Diceros bicornis minor: one gene and its partner. Each later gene encodes a partner of the first gene's protein in a complex. Links are inferred from orthologs where the notes say so. Each region holds a gene or a part of one and is shown on either strand. Other genes may lie near its edges.

Evidence for each region.
Region 2: the proteins of GRM5 (region 1) and HOMER1 are in contact, whole or in part, in a crystal structure (PDB 1DDV), measured with the Rattus norvegicus proteins. The link is inferred for Diceros bicornis minor from reciprocal best matches to the Homo sapiens genes GRM5 and HOMER1. Residues at the interface, in XP_006229721.1 of Rattus norvegicus: Thr1155, Pro1156, Pro1157, Phe1160; in NP_113895.1 of Rattus norvegicus: His12, Phe14, Trp24, Thr70, Ser71, Gln72, Lys73, Phe74, Gly89, Phe90.

Annotation. Positions count from the first base shown.
Region 1 is NC_080746.1:44,042,744-44,052,900, forward strand, and holds the start of GRM5 (metabotropic glutamate receptor 5), read left to right. Parts: upstream 1-5,184; 5' UTR 5,185-5,281; intron 5,282-10,157. UniProt on the Homo sapiens protein: G-protein coupled receptor for glutamate. Ligand binding causes a conformation change that triggers signaling via guanine nucleotide-binding proteins (G proteins) and modulates the activity of down-stream effectors.
Region 2 is NC_080740.1:8,250,603-8,261,007, reverse strand, and holds the start of HOMER1 (homer protein homolog 1), read left to right. Parts: upstream 1-5,750; 5' UTR 5,751-6,543; coding exon 6,544-6,548; intron 6,549-10,405. UniProt on the Homo sapiens protein: Postsynaptic density scaffolding protein. Binds and cross-links cytoplasmic regions of GRM1, GRM5, ITPR1, DNM3, RYR1, RYR2, SHANK1 and SHANK3.

The DNA of each region.
Region 1 (10,157 bases):
AGCTCTTTCCTTTAATCTATTTATTTTCTCCCTCTGGGAAGATATCTAAACTTTTATAGTTTTAAGTACATATTCTTAAAAAAAATATTTCCAAATCTATATCTTCTAAATTGCTGCTTCCTCTATTTTAGCTTCCCAAGCAAAAAAATCTGGGAGGTATTTACAAAAATTTCCACTTTCTCATTCTCCTTATTTAAACCAATAAACATTGAAGGGGAGCAGAATTTGCCACCCTAAAATATACCTCTTTGGCATAAGAATAATCTTGAGCTGATTACTTTTTTTTTTTTTTTTTTTTGGTGAGGAGATCAGCCCTATGCTAACATCTGCCAATCCTTCTCTTTTTTTTGCTGAGGAAGACTGGCCCTGGGCTAACTTCTGTGCCCATCTTCCTCCACTTTATATGGGACGCCACCACAGCATGGCTTGCCAAGCAGTGCGTCGGTGCCCGCCAGAGATCTGAACCGGTGAACCCGGGGCCGCCACAGCGGAGCATGTGCACATAACCGCTTGGGCCACCTGGCCTGCCCTTTGAGCTGGTTACTTTTTAAGAAACAGTAGACATAGGAAAAGTTCTGAAAACCAAGAAGTTATCCTACTGTAAAAGACATTTCCATGTGGACTGCCAGAGAGACTAACGAGTGGGTCTTAGTGCAAATTAAGCCTAAATTATTGCTGGAGGCAAAAATGATAACACTGAGGCTGTCCTACTTTAGGCACATCATGAGAAGGCAAGATTCTTTGGAAAAGACTATAATGCAGGGAAAAGTAGAAGGCAGCAGAAAAAGAGGAAGACCAGATATGAGGTGGATTGACTCCATAAAGGCAGCCAGGGACATGAGTCTACAGAATTTGGGTAGGGCTGTTGAGGACAGGACATTGTGGACATCACTCATTCATAGGGTCGACTTGAGGGCATCTAACGACAAGAATTTACATTTATAAGGAAAATCTCTATTTATAAGGGTGTGTTTCTCTCTGTAATAGGAGTAGGAGGATGGCTAAATCTGTAGAAACTCTTTGTCAATGGAGAAGGCACAGACTTAAATCTACATAATAACCGTATCCTTGTTTACCGTGCTTTTCCTGATAGCCTCACATAACTGGCTGTCCCACCACTCAACATCTTCTTTTGTCTCTAGCTGGAGATGGCATTTAAGGCGGTGGCTTGGGCCATTTCAGAGAGTTACCCGGTTTTCCTGGACCTCTCCCAACAGAGATATACATGTTATTCAACTTTTGTTTGTTTTTCTCCTATTTGTCCATCTTTTATTTCACAGGAATCTCAGCCAAGAATCTACAAGGGTAGAGAGAAAATTATTTTTCCTCACCTACAACATTTAAGAACAAGTCTAACTCAAAAATACTTCTCCTACTTGATTCATTTACTTCATCATGAGTGCACTGCTTCATTTCTCTTTAGAGCTTCATAATCTCTTGTATAGACATTTGAAACAGTTTCCTTGCTGTTCTCCACACCTTCAGCTTCTCTTCCTTGCATCTGTTTCTCTAACTTGCTACAATATTCTTTTTAAACACATGCCTAAATATGTCTCTCTTTTGCCTGTAGAGTTTTTTGCAGTGGCTCTTCATAGTGTGCTCCACTCAACATAAGATCTATTTCTCTTTTGAATTATTATTATCATGTGATAAATAAATACCTGTTTATCTTATCATTTCTCAAATGGGAAAAATGAAACTCAAAAGACGTGAGCCTGAGTTGCTCTGAGATCTGAAAATATGATTATAATCCAGATTTCAATTTCTTGTTTTATCATGCTCTTTAATTATACTTATTCAAACTCAGACAGCTTCTACATAAGTAAACAAACAAACAAACAAACAAAACAAATGCAATTGACATCTGTCATGATAAATGGGTAACCATTAAACAACAGGCAGTAATAATTCAAAGCAAGGGTTGTCAACTTGGCTGGATATTAAAATCACCCAGCGAGTTGTTTTAAGAAATGTTAATACATAAGCTTCACTAGAATCTTGGGACATGGGGCTCTGACCTCAGTATATATCTATATAATTTTTTTTAAGCTCATGTAGGGGAGAGAGAAATATTCCTCTACGCTTCTAGGTTCTTCTGACTGGTCTAAGAATTAAATTGACATGAGACAGAAGAATGGGAGAAAGTCAAACAAATTTAATAACATGTACACAAGGGAGAAACCCAGGAAAACTGAGTAACTGGCCAAAATGGTCAAAGCTACCATTTTAAATACTGTCTTCAGCCAAAGACAAAGGAGGATGTTGGGGTAGTGCTTTGGGACTTCAAAGGGGAGACAGACAATTCACAAGGAGATGTAAAAGCAAATGTTTGGTAAATAAATCTTTGCCATGACGTGCAGAGACAGTGGGACATGGAGACGATGTTGATCAAACAGGCCTTGCTAGATTCCTCCCTGTCTACCAGACCTACTTCATATTATGCTATAGTTATCTATGGTGATAGCTCCTTCCTGAAACAGGCCTTCTATCTTAAATTCTTTTAGGCAGTTAGAGGGGAGGTCAAAGTTTCTTCCTCAGTCTTTTGTTCTTAAAAATAATCAAGCCAAAAAGATACATTTTGGTAGCAAATTTTTTTCCCCTACAATCTCCAGCTGATTATAATCACAGGCAGGGTTGAGAACTCACAGTCTCCCTTGCTACTCAATGATTGATCCTCTGACTGGTAGTGCCATATCTATATTTGTCAAGCCCTCACTCGGAGCATTTCCAAGAGCTATTGAGGCCCAAAGTTGTCAAAGAGGTTCTGCCCTATGTGAAAATCACAAAACTCCTTACCTGATGGGGAGCATTGCACCAATGATGTGGATGGAATTGCCTGGGTCAGAAAGGCCTTGAGATCACATGAACTTGAGCCTTCTATCCTCATCTTCCACATGTCCACTAAAGATATTTTTTCCTAAATCATCTATCAGATTACATCATTCCTCTACTGAAAATTTCTTTATTGGTTTCCCATTGCTAAAGACTAACATCTAGATCCTTAGTGTGACATTTTAAAAGAACCATATGTGAACAAAATGCCTTTTTCACACACACCTGCACACTCACACACACACACTATTCTTCATTTCTCTCTCACTGTCAATTCCAGTAACATAAGACTTTTCTGACTGAATTCTCACTATTTGCCAAATGAGCTATATACTTTATATCTCTAAGTTTTTGCTCTTATTATTTGGAATGCCCTTTTCAACTTGACTGCCTGATAAAAATCCTACTTAACGTTCAAAATGTCTTACAAATGTCACTTCCTTTGCAGAAAATTCTCCAACATTTCTACCTACCAGTCACTTCTTTCTGCTCCTGGCTTCAAACTCATACCTTCCATGACAAAATCCACCTGGAATTATAATGAGTGGTGGGTATAGTGGGAGATATCTTTTTCCCTTCTCCACATTACCATTTGTGCTCTTAGAGAAGAGCACTTCTACAGATCTTTTGTTCTCTGACATTATGATAAGAAGGCAACATCCATCTTCTATGAATCTCTTTACTTGCCCCTGATCATAAGAGAAAGAGCAGTTAATCTTATTCCTGAGGCTCTGACCTATAATGAGCAACATTGTTCTGCTAGCTGTTAGAGTCACTGTAAGTATTAAGAAATATACTCTACCCTTTTCCTTGCACTGCCTCTCTCATAATGAGTAAGAAGATCAATGAAAGACTCTCCTCTGCTTCCTGACTCCATGTGGTAAGAATCCTTGGGTCAGGGTCCTAAGACTGACTTCTAAAGGCAGTTAGTTGTCTATCCCCTACCTCTCTTTCTCTCTCTCTGTCAGCCCCTGTGTGTGTGTGTCTTTATCTCCTCTTTCTCCTTGCCTGTCTGTGTGTGTGTTCTCTTTCACTGTCTGTCTCTGTCTTCCTCTCCTTTCCCTGTAAGTGGTAAGTGTGGTAGGCCTGAATTATTTACAGCTAATGAAGTCAGCTCCTTCCATAGGTGGCTGTTCCAGGCTGTAAATATGGGTGGATTGTAGAAGGAGTCTATTTGACTTATCTCTAGCCCACATTCTTCAGTCTGCTTTACCTTGAGGGGCTAGTACTTTGGGGTTGTTGGGCAGTTGCTTGGCTGATTAAAAGGTCTTCACTTTGATTTTTTTCTTAATTCTAGTCTTTTCATTAGATAGAACCTATGGAAAACCCTCCCTGTTGATCTCTAGCATATTTGTATACTGGAGGATGGTGGTTGCAGGGAGTGCTGGGAAAGAGGATAGCAGCAGCTCTATTGTGGTTACATTGATTCTGATTCTTTGGAAATGTAGAATAAATATGAAAACTTAGGTTTTCAAAAGGGGAGTATTATAAAGAAAACAAGGTTCCATTTAAGTAAGACTCTCCTTGGATGACACCAAGAAAACTAAGATATTGATATTGGAAGACATTTGGACTCGATGTGGGAAAGACACTAAGGGGAAGAAGGCAGCCTCAGTAAGATGTCTTGATGCGACAGTATTGCAAATTTTTAAGTTTTGAAAGAGTATAAGAGCATTTGATATTTTTCACATGATTTATCTCGCCAATTCCCATCTCCCAAAATAGCATCTAGATGTCTTTGCTATGGTCTTTTGTAATGAAAATCTGAACTATACTAAGTCTTAGTTGCTGGAAACAAAATTTTGCTTAGCACAACTTTTTAAAGCACTATGTTTTGTTTTACATTTTTTGGAGAAAAAAAGCATGTGTAGCTGTAGAGCTGATTGTGTGGTATTTTTCTGAGTCTTATTGACTCTTTGAACTCTTTATAAAAGTGGAACTTCCAAGAGTCTTAGAGTAGAATTAACATAACTCTGAAGATGCTATATGAATCACAGCTAAGCAGAGGAATCCAGATGTTATATGAGAGAAATTCTTTGAGCTGAGACTGAGCGTATTACAATAGTAAGTAGTTAAAAACTTCTGATTTGAATTTCTTTAGACTATGAGGAATGGGTGATTTCATTTTTTGGACTTAAATTTTCTTACTACGAGGAGGGAACTAATATTATTTAAACATGGATTTTTTTATATTATAAAAACTCTATTTTTGTGAGTAATCTTATGATGACTCACAGCACTCATTGTCCTACAACCCCTGGTGAGACACACGGGTCTACATGATTAAAAAAAACTTAAGATGGGAAATTAAACTGGAATGAAACATAATTAATATCCTTTCTTTAACCTTTTAGATTCATCTGAACATAAACACTAAACTACCCATGTCCTGTCCTAGGAGAATAGAAAGGATCAATGGCAGTAGAGATTAAGGAGCAACATGATAAAGGTGAGTGCCGAAGAACCATGATTTGTTGCTAGTCTTTTCCTCAATGGGCTTATAAATACCCTTGATTGACATCCCTATTGGGCTGAAAGAACAAAAATCTGAAGAATGTCAAAGGAAACCTCCTTTTTTGTGATATTCTCACTTTAGCCCTTCTGGAGAAGTGCTGTAAGGGAATTTCTGTCTTACTACCCCACATTTCCCCCTGTACATTCTTCCCTGTATGAATAAGAACAAGTAATTGGACTGGTGAGAATTTTGTCTTCCAATAGACCATATTTCCTCTACAAGTTCGTGTTCTGTATTCAAACTCACTGCTCACAGAAGACATATTCTCTTGTTTGGACTATGTTTGCTCTCAAGCACAGTGGGTGCTCATATTCTCTTGTCTTCTCAAATATGCATTGCTTCCATGCAATAAACACACCATCAGACAAGGACAGATACATCCCCTGACTATACTACCTTCTCCTTAAAATTTGGCCTGCCATTTTTGAGCTCTCCATTTTGCAGGCAATTTGGTGCATGAGCAGGTACCTGACAAAGTGGATAAAGCTTGTGCTACAGATCTCAGATCCCCATCACGTATGCCCCAAGTTTTAGATTCAAGGAAGCAGTGAGATGGTCCATTATAATACCAGTTTAAACATATACTCTCTAATCCAGTAATCCAGAAATCCTACATTTGAGGATAATTGAGCATTAACTTTTCCGGTAATAAATATTGTTTGATCTCCTTTTAGATTGCTTTTGTGTTTATTGTTCCTATTATTTGGAACTTGGATGAGAGGAAGGCTGAAGACAGGCTCTTGCTGTTCCCTCTGAAATGCTTGTGTCCTAGATATTTACTAGGCTTATTCCTTTTCTTCATTCTGTTCTCTGTTCAAATATCCCTTTTTCAGAATATCTTCATCTGAAAATCTTCTCTAAATTCATGTTTGTCTCTCTCTGGCACCTTCTATTGTTCTAATTTTTCTCACAGCATTTATCAACTACTTGATATTATATTTTACATTTATTTTCCTGTCTTCCTTTTTAGAATATAAAATTCCAGGAATTTAGGATCTTGCATTCATAGCTGTATCTACAATAGCTAAACAAAAGCATGGCACATAGAAAATATCTTGTACATTTTTGTCAACTGAATAATAAAAAGATTAATCTTTTGATGATGTATCTGATACATCATCAATACTCATTTACTGTGTTGAATCTAAATGCAAAATTGCAATGCTTTCATCCGTTTCAGGGACTCTGCAACTAGAGGAGATTTAAAAAACAGTGTCTCCAAGCTTCACCCAGGATCAAGCTATCACCAATAGCTTGTCCCATCACTGTTTTATCTGCCGTCTTTTCTCAGGGTTTCTAATTCCTATTCTCAAATTTTGCTTCTGGCTTTGACTTTTTCTTTGCTGACTTATTTAGATTCCCCTCTCTGCTTTAGTGATCTTCCCTTTTCCATCACCCAACTGACTCTCATCTCTGGCTACTCCCTTGATTTTGTTATCATCCATAATTACAGCCACCCACACTCACCGTGTCTTCTGCTCTATCCCTTCTCCTGGCTTGCTTTCCCCAGGAGGGGACTGAACACACATTGTTACAATATAATTATAAAAGTATTGAATTTGAGTCCCTTTCTCCCCACAACTGCCTAAAAGGGAGTCATGATCAACGCGAAAAACCCAACTTCTTCAAGCTTCCTGAGATTAATCTCTAGAATCAAACATGAGCTATGTTTTGAACTGGGAACAAACAAGCTGGGAGCCCAGACTGAAAATTCGTGTTGCTCACTCTTGGAGAATTCAGAGTACTTGAGCTTTCTGGACAGCTAGTGTATCTGGCCCACCAGGGATCCATTTGTGAGATGCATTAAGGAACTTTATGGAAAAGAACTAAATCGAAAAGCATAGAAGCAATCTGACAAGCTAAGTTCATGGACAGTAAGGAGGATAGTTATTAGCATGAGAATATGATTCTCTCCAAGGCAACATAAGTAACTTAAAGTCAAATATGGATTGACCGAATAAAGTATTAAATATGCCTGTTCTCAAAAGCCGTTGGCCATGGCAACATGGTCCTTGGCCTTCTCTCCTCTCTCTTCTCCTCTGTTCTTTTCCTCTAGTCCCAGATTTCTGTTCAGTTCTAATGTAGGGCAACTTAGCTGTCTTTTTTGTCACCTTGTCACTTACTTTCTCCTCATGACTTCGGCGTCTCAACTTCCCAGCCAAGTGATTTTTCAAAATGTTTTCCTAAAGTATAATTCACTCCTTAAGAGGAAATATGTTGTGAGTTGTGTTAAGATCATAGTTCTTTTTCACCCTGAAGAACAAGTCTCTCAAGTTTTTATGCTGTGTATGCTCTAGAATACCAGACATGCTGAATAGTCACTGCAGGGGCCTCATCAGTATCACTTCAGGCTGACATGGCCGGGTAGAATGGATTACACAAGTATGTTATGGCAGCTATTGATTGCTGTCTATTTGCTCCAACTGAAAGGATGTCAGTGGTAAATGCTATTTAAAATCACTGCTGGATGTGTGTAATTTGCTTATTATAATTGTTCATGGCAACATTAGTTCCAATTCAATAATTCATTTCAGTGTCTGAACGTTTCTAGCCTTGATTAATTGGCCAACTTTGTATACTCACGTTGTGGCATTTTCCTTAAATTTTGTTGTACACTTAACTCTATAAAAATATTATATATATAACATTATGTATAATATTGTATTGTAAGTAATTACTGATGGAAGTATCTCTAACTTTCAAACTTGCAGGAGATTCATATGTATATTTATACATATAAATAAATATATATAGCCATCAGATTATAGTTCTAGAAATGATTTACAATACAATTCATACTCTAAGTCAATTCAGACCCATGATCTATTTAACATCTTTGTGTGTAGTTCTCAACTCAAACCTAATTAATTAAATATGTGTGTGTGTGTATATGTATGTATATTACAATTTCTTTTCAGGTAGTATATGTTACATAATATAGTACATTACATATCTTATCTTATTATATGATAGTTTACTTTGAAACATGTATAATCTATAATATACCTTACATAAATCAACATTCGCCATAAGGGCACATTTTTTTCAGAAGTAATGCTAAATATTTTAAAGGTTTATGTCATTCTCATCAATTTTCACTTTTTATTTATCATCTGGCTCTGGGTCTTAGGTTGAGTCCTTTTGACTGGTTTGACTTTAATCTTTGGTTTATGAAAGAATTGTAGAATTTCAGAGCTGGAAGGCCTCCCTGAACATCAAAGAACTTGAGCTGCTTATCTTCGAAGGAGTCAGATATTCTGACTTGGCCACAGGCTCTGTTCACCCAGCCTGGGTTGTCTGACCTAATCACGGGGAAGGTTTTAATTCTTTTTTGCCCCACTGCCCTCAGAGAACTGTTACTTTCTCTATACTCTGCAGTAAGAAAACAGAAAGAAAAGGAAGAGAAGTGGAATGCAAATTCTCATGTGTCTAAGCTGTGATGTCAAGCTCCTATTTTCTCTACCCAGTTGCCTTTGCTTTGATGAATTTTAGCAGGTCATTCCTAGCCACAGCTCAGAATTCCTATGCAGCTTGGTCTTTAGAGCAGCAATATAATGGAAGGATGGGCCAAAGTGGTCTTAAATCTGCATGTGCATAGAGTGCACACTGCTTCTATCTAGATTATACAGTTCAAATAAAGAAGAAGAGTAAGCACACTTTCTAAAAATGACTTTTTTCAGTTATACATAAGGTTGATAAAATGTCAATTGTCTTTATAAATTAGTATTGGGCATGATGACTTGGGTGGTTTTGGAGATTATTTCACGGTGGCTGCTAAAGCCCTCTACAAACTATTTCTTGGCAGCACCACTAACCAAGAAATTTGGCTTATTTATTTGAAAATAGTATAAGTTTTATACACCACAAATTTTTATATATATATATGAACGGTTTTAATGACCAGTTTCTTGCAGTATTGATTATCAAGGTTTGAAAGCTAAGAGTAGTCAAGATTAATACTTTTAAAGAAACATTTTGTTAACGAGAAAGTCACCTATTATACTAATGATTCTTAACCTGAGATCCAAGCGCAGGTAGATAGACTTCAGCTTATCCAGGAATAACCTAAAATTTAAGCAAAATTCACATGCATATGCACTTTTCTGTAGAGAGGATCTATTATTGCATAGAACTATACTAGATTATATTGGTCCATAGGATATATGTAAAGCTATATATGAGAGAAACCCAAGTTTCTAAATCTTAACATGATAAAAATTTATTTCTTCTTCACTTAAAATTCCAGGCTGATAGTGTGGCTTTACATTCTGAAATGGTCACAGATCCAGGATCCTTTGACCTTTTGTTCCACCATCCTATTGTGTTTATTTCCAGATGGCTCACAAATAGATCAGCATTTCAGCCAACATAGAGGCACCTTCTCTTTAAAGGAAAACCTGAAAATTGTATTGTCTTTCAATGAACACCTCATTAATTAGAACTTAGAAGTAAACTCATTCCGAGTTGCCATGTGTCTAACAAACGATCCAGTGTTCTATCACCTTAGAGAAAGAAGAGAATAGGTATTAGGTAAAATCAGCAGTATCCTACATACGTACGTTGTAAAATGCTTAGAACAATACCAGGTACATAATAAGGACACATTAAATTTTAGCTATTTAACTTGTGTTCTTTAAAGAGCTCTGTCAGACAAAGGCTGGGAAGAAAGAGGCAGTCACAGAGGAGTCAAGGTAATATGATTTATAAATTACCTCATGTAGCATTGTGTTCTTTGTTTTATGTAATTTGTTTGAATTCTGCATTGATAAGAATTATTTAATTTGGTAGATTGAGAGATGCACAACTGTTT
Region 2 (10,405 bases), on another chromosome or scaffold:
TCCTCAGTCTCTTTCCCTCCCTTTCTGCTTTGGATGTTCTTTGTGAGAATCTGATGCCTGGAAATGCAATAGTCTTCCAACAATCATGAGACAACAAGCCAGGCTTAAAAGACAACACATGAAGATGGCAAGGTGAAAGGCTGGAAAGAGCCTGCAATCTAAGGACACCTCGGATCTTCCCAGTCAACTGTAGGACCACCTGCCTTCAGACTTCTTATTACGGAAATAAGCAACAAAAAAACAATCTTATAGCTTAATGCACCATTAGGTGGGGTTTCTGTTCCTTGCAGTTGATATAAACTCACACATTAGCAATGGGGGAAGGGGAGGGTGGTAACCAAGGTAAGAAAGGTGGGCGGGGGACCGATCATGAGTGAATGCCTCTTATGCCAAAACATGCAGTGTGGATTTCATTCTAGCAGATGACCCAGTGAATCCAGGCATTTTATAGTGATCTATCTATTTATATCTATATACATATTTATCATGTATATGATCAAATATAATTCATTATTAAAATAATAGAATAGACATTGACTAAAGATATAGTTACCATTTTCATTTTAATTTTTAGAGAAATTACTATTTAGAACCAGATTAAAAGAAATAAAAAGCCTCACAAATAATTCGAGAAATATCTTGGCTGAAACTCCCATATGGTAAGAGTCTTTATTTATTGTCTGACCTCTTATGATTGGGGGAACATTTAACACAATTGCTAGGTATTGATTCTGCCCACTTGAGCAACGCTGGAGTCTTTACCAATTACGTTCTGCTTCAAAGAGTTTCCAATTGCCATCTTAAAGCCCTATCTCTCTTTGAAATAGCCCCAAATTTTTGCCTCAGCTTCGTCTCTTTCAAAAGAAGGCAACTTCCTTTCACAAGCAGGGCTGTCCTAAATACTTTGGGTGTTATTTTTCTCCGAGCTGGCACCAAAAGAACCACAAAATAAGGTAATTCATTTAAAACATTTTCCTCATGGTTGTCCTGTTCCCCCATTCAGGAAAAAGATTACTGGTTACCATGGGAATCGGCTTCCGCAGCATTCCATTCTAGGTAACTGCACAGGTATAGCACAAGCTTTACTCCACGTTCTTTACTGTAGCTCTCTGCAGATCTGCATATTTTTGCAGCCTGTTCTCTGTAACTCCTGTGTGGAACAATCAGCCAACCAATGAAACAACCAAATAAAAGAACAAACAATCTGAAGTTATGCTAGATAATTTTTTCAAAGGCTTTATATCCCCATCTCTTTGGAATATTTAAAAAAATTACATGCATAGTTGTACAATGATTTTCTCGTAGCACCAACTGAAAACTTTCCGATATGTTCTTTCACAAGTCTGGGATATGTTCTTTCACAAGTCTGGGATCTCTATCTCTTTAGAGATATTTAGAATATATGTAATGAATTTACCGTAAAAATCAGAGCAAGAGAGAGTTCTATGAGATTGTTTCCCAGGCGCTCTATATCATACCTTTTCTGAGGATAATTACCTAACTTTCTTCCCTCCACCACTCCCAAACCCTCTGATAAAATAGTGCAGACACTCAGAAGAGTAAAACTGTCCTCAAGCCATCGTGTTGGAGGTGCCAAACACTTCTACTCTCATCCTTGAGACCATTAACTAGCCTGTTTCTGTTCAGAACATTATTGGTGATAACAAAAGACGGTTGTAAACAAGCCAAACACATTTTACTGACATTCAGTATCTGCTGTGTTCTGGAGCAAGTGGGATGCCTTTGGAGAATCAACCGGATAAATTCTGTTTCCCTACAAATCCTTCATTCTTTTCTTATCACTACTTTTAGTCTTGACTGCTTATTTAGTTTCTTCCTAACTGTGTGGCATAAACTAGGAATCTTGATATTTCTATGTATGCAGAGATATCTTTTAACTTATTATTTCTACCTATGACTTTATTTGAAGCAATAGTGGTATTTTGGTAATTAAAAAGAGGGAATTTGAAAGGGAGTTGCTATTATCTAATGTTAAGCAATTAAAAACAAAATCTGGCTTTAACCCTCTTTCCCGCAAAGTTTTTCTATCTCCTGGATGTCTTTTCATTGAAAAAGAGATATCTCATGACCAGTCTATGAACACCCCATTGCCATCTCCTATTAAGGGCACGGAAGTAAACTCTGTAACTAAAACAGATGCCTTCGCCCACAGGTTCTAAAATCAGAGGATATTCATAAACCTCTCCACAAATTTTCACAGTGTAGTGGGAAATAGGAACTGTTAAAAATTTGAAACTCTACTAAAGTACTTTCTGCCTCTTCCGGTAAAAGAAAATATATTACTTTCTAGGAAGCTCACTACTTGAAAAAACATACAAAGCAATCAGGGTTGGAAATTCATGGCTTGCATTTGGGTTACATGAGCTCAATTTTAGAAGAAAAGATATTTACTTTTAGATGGAAAGTCATAGAATGGTTCTCTGACTCCTCTCAAAATTGTATTGGAATTGTTTCAAGAGAAGAGAAAAGGCACTTACTTTATTATTTTTTTTCTGAGCAGATATTCCATGATACATGTTTTATTTATTCCTTTGGGTACATAGACATATGTATTCCCTGATATACTAATCCCACACAAGCTAGAAAGAAAAATTGACCAATTATTGGTAGAATTTTCTAGATTAAGAGTGGAGGCTGAAGTTAAATAATCACATAAACCTTGAGTAATTATATCACAATGCACAATTCAATTTATATAGAAAAAAAGTTGCTCTCAATTTTCAGTCAACAAAAGAGCAGTTGAGAAGAAATCATGTAGCTTTGAAAAGTAGAAACTCTAATGAAGGGTCACCATTCTAAAAGCAGCTGATGTGCTGTTTTGACAGTTGGGTAAAGATGAGGGGGAATAAGACTGTAAACCAGAGGAAGTCTTGATGAAAGGGTAGAATGAAGTGTTTGAAAATGGTAAAGTGAAAGCTTTAATTAACGTGGATGGAAAGAGCAGGAAAGAGAGAAAAGTGATTTAGTTCAGATAGGAAATAGTTTGTAGAGAAATTTTAATAGAGTAATAATTTGTATTTTAATTTGCAAGGGCCAAAGGGATGACATTATTTGAAAAATGACAGTTTTATTGTTTTAATATTTTATACATAAGTAAGAAGCTCCATTCATCTGAAATATAAATCAGTACTATTAATACGATAGTATATGTTAAACAAATTAGCAAGCAGGGGTTTGCTTTTGATTAACTTTTGTTATAACCTTTAAAAAAACTACTTTCAATATTTCAAATTACAAGCAAGATCATGATTTTATAATGTGAAGATAACCAAAAAGCCTGATTTAGTTGCAAATCGGTCCTAACTCTTTTGGCTAGTGTCCTTTAATCTTGGACTCCTAACTCAATCAAGAAAATGTAGATGCAGAAAGTTGAAAAACCAAATTTTTTTTTAACCACAAATGGTATAAATTCGGTGGAGTTCTAGCTTCTTTTATTTAAACTGTTCTGATATCCATTTATAGCTCTCCTAACAATCATTTTATAGATTGGTAATCCTATGTCCTGGATTTTCCAGGTCACTTCAGATTTCATGTATTTGGTTTCTTGTCAAATGATGTGTCCGGATTTTGGTTTGGAAAACGTGGTCCCTGAATTTATAGACTAACTGTGAAACAGCGATGGCCTTTGGCATTATGTAATAATCGTATTTCTGGGTCATGATTATCAAATTAAATCAAATCAAAGCTCATTATTTGAGTCTACCTAATAATAAACTATCAAAATAATGACATTTTAAAACTTTGTAGAAATTTGCAATTTGAAAAGCATTCATAATATGATTTATTATAGACACAAACACACACACACGGCTAATAAACCTATAAAAGGCTACTCACCCTTGCCATATAGGAAATGAAAAACAACATACTTCAGAGATACAGTAATTACATATTACATGGTCAAAGCCAAGGAAGACAAAAACAATCTAAATGTGCTTGTGTTAATATTATAAAAAGGATTTGGTGGTCTTTCTTATTTTTAATTTCCATAGACTGGAACTCATATTCTCTATAAACCTGAACTGAGAGGATATATACTGGCATTTGCTATGCGTGTAACAATAACCACGAGTGAACTTTCTAAGATTGACTTATCCTATGCCAAAACATTGCTGTTTTGCAAATGAAAACATTTAGATGATTTGATGCCCCCCTTAATTACTATTCTTTATAACATTACAACATTTGTTCATGGCTCCGCTCTTTATCCTTCCGTGATTTAGGTAACCACTAAGCAGAAAAAAAAAAAAAGTTTTAAAATCGACTGCGTCCGGAATGGCATTTAATGTCTTTCGAAAATTAAGGTGATTTTCCCCAAGTCTTGTTGGAAACCTATCTACCACTAGTGAGCAGGCTCTCCTCCCACATTTCCGTGCGAGTTGGGACTTGAGAAGCCCGCGGATGCTGCTGCAACAGAGGTGGGAGTGGAAGATTCGATGTCACCCGCTTGACACTTCAGCAGTGTTGCTATGAATGATTCACTTGTGTTTGGCACATTTGTTGCAAGGAAATCTCCTCCTCCCGCCGCTTCCTTCGCCGAGCTCCTCTCGGGCTGTCTCCTGTGCTTTGGCCTTTAAGCTGAAGCGAGAGCAGGTGGGCACAGAGCAGCTCGCGGACTCCTCCTCCCCCTGCTCCTTCCCTAATTTAGCAGTACTTCCGGCCGCGTGACATCATCCCCCGCACCCCGGTGACGTGAGCGGCGGGTGACGTGTGTGCGGAGAGAAGCGCGCTGACGTTGCTATTTAAAGGTCCTCCTGCGGGGAGGATGGAGACACAGCGCGAGCACCTGGTGTGGGGTGTGGAGGAGGCAGTGGCGGCCGGGAGCGGGGCCAGAAGCCAGCGGAAGAGCAGAGCGCGCGGGCCGCCCGCCGCCGGCCGCTAGGGGAGGGGGGAAGGAAGGAAAGAAGGACGGACGGACTGACGGACCTGCCGGCCGGACTTGCTCCCCTCGAGGGCCGGCTGGGCCGCTGACCACCAGCCTTCCCGCCGCCCGCGCGGCTGCCGCTCCCTCCCGCTGCCCGCAGAGCCCCGCCGGGCATTCGGGACGGGTCGGCGCGCCAGCCCCCGGCGCCCGGCCGCGGCTCCGCGGGGCCGGCCGTCTCCCGCCCCCTCCCGCGAGCAGGGGGAGGGCCCGCCCCCCGCTCTCCCCGCCCCCTGCCCGCCCGGCGGCCGCGCTCGCCTCCCGCGGGCGGCGCTGACTGGGAAGTGGCGCGCTCCGCTCCGCGAGCGGCCGGTGGAGGCGGAGGCAGCGGCGGCTCCAGGCCGCCTGGGCCGGCGCTGCTCTGCCGAGCGGGAGCCGGAGGCCGGGGGAGGCGGGCGGTGAGGGAAGTGTGAGGCGGCGGCGGGGCCCGGGGACTGTGGCGGCGGCGCGGAGCGGGAGAGGCGAGGAGCAGGGTGGGGGCGCTGGAGTAGCGGCTCTCCCGCGGCTTCGAGCCCCGCGCCCCTGCCTTCGACGCGAGAGTAGCCGCCCGCCTCAGCTCGGGCGGGCGCCCGTCGACCTTCCCGCCCCGTCCTCCGCCGCGGCTCGGCCCGCCCCGGAGCTGGGGGCCGGCGGCGGCGCGCGGCTCGGCTCTGTGACTCATTCATTCCCCGCCGACGGGAGCCTCGGACCTGCGGTGCTCCGAAGAGAGGAGGGGAGAGGGGCCGCGGCGAATGAAGGGCCGGGCGCGAGCCAGGCTCCATTGTGCTGGGCGGCGGGGGGCGGGCAGGGGCTGAGGGAGGGGGATCGCGCCCCCGCCCCCCGCTCCCCGGCGTGCGCGGCGCCCCCAGCCTGCTGCCAGCCTGGAAATGGCTCCGTCTATTCTCCTCGGGAGAATGAAGCGATCCTGCCCAGCCTGCTCTTCCTCCTCCCCACCGCCTCTCTGCTCCGAGTCTTAGAAGGGGAGACGTTTCACAGACAGACTCCAATGTGGAGTGCCGTGCACGTCGCGAGCTGCAGGGTTTGCACTTCGAGGAGATTTTTCTACATCGCTTTTTCTAATGTGAGCGCAGGGAAGCAGTGGCATTACTGCTTTTAGGATTTTTATTTTCTCCTAGGGCTCTCTAAAGTGCACGTCGCATTGGGTTGCACGCTCCACCCCCAGGGACCTGGGGTGGGAGAGAAATCTGAACCCGCAGCCTTAGTAGCACCGAAAAGGCCGAGTTACCTGCTTCTCTCTGAGTGTCGAGGAGGACATGAGCGAAATGACCACCGAACTCATTTTTTATAGGACTCGGTGAAGCTGGATTCTGCGCTTTACGACACAGACTCATTTTGTGGAATAGAGTTGACCGCTGTCTCCTCCGCGCAGCATTTTAACTCCAATAAGCAAATGCCCCCTCTGTTTGAACGTTTTGGTATTTACGAGGGAGAAATCATTTTACCTAAGGGAACTAATTGAATTGTCAGCATCACTGAAATACCTCCAGAAAAGGATCTCGGGGGGTGGAAAAGCGACTGCGAAATAGCAGACGGAGAAATTCCTTTGGAAGTTATTCCGAGCATAAGAGCAGAAACTTCAGAGCAAGTTTTCACTGGGCAAAATGGGGTAAGGATTTTTGTGTTTAACACAGCTTCGAATCTGCTTATGTATGTGTGTTATTGAGCGGTGGTGGCGATTGTCTGGGTTTTGTGTTTTCAAGCAAATTCCACCTTGCTAAGCTGGTCGTACTTGAAAAATATAGGTGTGTTAGCATTTTAACAAGTTATTTTTGTAGAGTGACGCCGGAAGTCATAATGAAGGAACATACGTATATCGTTTGTAACCAGAATATAGTTTTATTAGTAATGTGTAAGAAGACAACACAGTCTGCACTTTACTGGTTACACTGCCGCATTAGTTTGTACTCGAAATCGTGTTTTAGGTTTTGTTGCTGATATCTTTCAAAGAGAAGTACTGCGTTCTCTCAGTACTTTGAGAAGAATCAGTTGCACAGAGGAACAATTGTACAGTAATGGGTGGTTAGACTACAGCCCTTGAAAATGATCCAATGTAAATTGTTGCCCTTACGGTGCCCTCTATTTTGCCCTTGAATACCCAAAGCTAAAATGTGTAGAAGTGATTTATTGGAGCATTAAAACGAAAATCTGAAAGTCTTACTGATGTGGTCTGCACATGGCCGATGCACTTGATAGGAGATCAGAGCTTGAATAGGAAACAGCTTTTTGTTGAAGGAACTTGGTCACTTTTTCTGTTTTTTGCTTTTAAGCTCAAGTCTTCAATTTGTGTTAACAATGTCAGATCTACACCTTCTTTCAAATCCAAAGTCAGCCAAGAGTGCATTTTCCAACCTTTTATTAACTCTTCACACAATAACTTAGTCTTCCTAGTTTAAACCAGAAACCCATAATATATTAATGGAGTAATGATCTGGTCATTTCATTGACCGATTGTCAATGCTTTTTGTCGAAGAGGAACTTCCAGAATTTTCTTTTCTCTCTTTTTTTTTTTGTAGTTGAACAAACACATCTAAAGGGACAGGAATTGAAAGGATAGACTCTGAAATTCACTGTGACAGTATAAGGGGTGTGCACACCTAAACTTTCTTTCTGGAAACTTTCAGAGGAAAGTTCTTAGATAGTATTACCTTTTGTGTTGGAGTTAAAATTTGAAGTTTATTAACTTGAACAAATTTGAAAATGTAGATATTGTAGGAGCCCTTGGTCAGGAATTAAGGAGAAAGAGCGATAATTGTTTTTTAAACTTAAATGACAAGTGATGAGAATATATATAACTTGCATAATTTGGGATGCTGCTGAGAGCAGTTAAAATACCTCATTCTATTTCTAGTGCTGCTATTAGTAGCTTGGTGATCTGAGGCAATTACTTAACCTCTGTGGACTCTGTTTTCTTATCTGTAAAATGAAGGAGTTAGGTGAGTTTAACAAAATTTTGTAATCTGTAAAAGTGAATTCTTTTCTTTTTCTCCTCCTTTCTATTTTAATGATTACTAGTTGGTTTGAGGTAAATCTTTCAGATGGAGAGATTGTTTTCTCTAAGCAGTTTTTAAGCACGTAAGCTGGAAAATAATGGCATTTGAAAAATGTTTTGGATGAGTTGCACCAATTTTAATGAGACAGGATACTGAAAAATACTACTATTCAGAATCTTTGAAATATGGCTTCCTTTAAGAATCTGCAGCTCTTCTGTTTAAAACATGTCAGAGCAAAAAAAAAAATGAGGTGGCAGTTTTTCCTGTCGAAGGCTGCATTCTCTCTAGACTGTGGAATAGTAGCATCGTGGAAGAAGATTGGTTTTCCACAACCTTTAAGCTGCATGAATGCCCATCATTTTACCAAGGGAAGCTTGGGATGAACTTAATAACAGGGAGACTGGTGTTTAAAATATGAAAATAAGCTGCCACACGTAGCAGCACATTTTAGATACTTTAGGGTAATTAAATTTGTTTATAAACTAGTATATTTGCCCTTAATAAAGCCATAAAGGTGGACTGGAGAGGAAACGGAGTGTTAAAAACATTATTTTTCTGAAAGTCTATATTTGGGGCTATGACTTTCTCATTGATAGTGACTTGTTTCATCTGAGTTGTCAAGAGAGGATGGGTAGGTGGAACTAGAAGAGAAGGGCATGCAGAGAAGGCATTTGTGGAAGTTTCCACACTGGGTGGGTGTTTATGCCTAATAAATGTTTGCAGAATAAGCATAGCCTCCTGCACCCAGTTTTACCCAGGCAGTCCTAAATTACCTTATTCTGACGAGTATCTAAAATTTAATATTGTGGGTGAAGTGTTTCACATGTCATTAATATATTTTTGACTGTTAGGTTATAATAAGAACTTATCTTTGCCTTAATTATGGATGTAATTGCAAGTCTAGGGAGAACATTTAAGCAAAAGGAATTATTTCTAAAGAAAATGAGTGATTAGGCAGAAGACAAATTTATGGCTCCTGTAATACTAGTTTATGAAGTATTGTGGAAACGGAAAAGAACAGCTGAAACTGACAGTTGGCAGAGTCTGTTAGGATCTTGGATGCTGCCTGAACTGTTTAAATCAGTGAAGGCAGTTGAAGTATTGGTTTGTGAAATAGGTGTATCAGACCCCGTACAAATCAGAGCATTCATGTTTGTAAGGTAAAGTAAGATAAAGAAGCTTCAAAGCCACAGCAAGGAGCCCGTTAGGTATGACGCCCAGTCCTCCACGTAGTATCTCGTAATGAGAGCAGTGAGTCAGTAGCTATTTCAGAACTATGAGAGCAGGCAACAGAAAGCAAGTAACTTCCACTGTTATCTCATGCTACCTTTTGTTTTGCTTAGCTCATATTGGCAACTTAGTGCCATCAACAGGGGAATAGATAATCTTCCCCCCCTCATTAAAAGTTAGTTCTAAAATGTGATTCTCCCTGCAAATGAGGTTTGATAATGCTGTTTCTGATTTATCTCACCTGCCTGTGGGGACCTCTGGAAACCCACTTTGCCTTTCCCCAGATAACTTCCTGAAGCGTGGAAGTGGGTGCTGCTGCATTGCACCCTGTATTGAGTCCCTTTGTTGCTGAAAGAGAAAATTGACACCTCTTTCTGCATCAGGCTACCTGGGGCTGTAGCAGAAATGTGGAAATCTTGATCCAGCACTACAATATGAACAGGCTTTGTTGTGAAGGCAACCACCTAATCATTTCCAACATTAGAGAAGTTAGATGCAAGTCCTTAATTCTTTGTTCATTTTACCAATTTTGAACCCCTATCATGTGGCAAGTACAGCAGCTTAATGCTGCTGATACAGGGACTAGTAAGATGTGCTCCTTCCCTCAGGGAGTTGATAGTTTAGAAGTTGGGAAGACAGTCAAGCCTGAAATTAAAAAGTACAGTGAAATGTCTAAGGGCTGTAATGTAGCGCAGCCTAGAGGTACAAAGTGTGTATGTGTGTGTGTAGCATTAGCTGCTGAGGGAAGGATAAAAACGCTTTTGTGGAGGAGGTGATAGGTATTAAATAATGGAAGATGAGTACAGGTGGGCCTTGTAGACAAGTGAGCAGGGATTCAAGACCCAGGGAACGGTGTGATTGACAGCACTAAGACAAGGAACTGCAAAAAAGTTTGGCATGACGGACTTGTCTCTAAGGGGTGTAGCAAGAGAGAGCTGTAGAGCCTTATACAGGGGCCGGATTAGAGGGCCTTGTGGACCAAGGAAAAGCTGGTGTATTTCAAGCTTTTTTTTGGCAATGGCCCATTGTAGTAAGATACACATTTTTACCTCACAACCTAGTGCACACACATGTAAATGATAAAATGTCACAAAATAATACCCTTTGTGTGATCCACTCTGGTATTTTCTATTCTGTTTTGTTCTATTTTTAAGAAAGAATGATGTTTGGGACCCAATAAATTGATTTAACAACCTAGTAGTAGCAACTGGCAATTTGAGAAACACTGTTCTTGGTTGTGGGA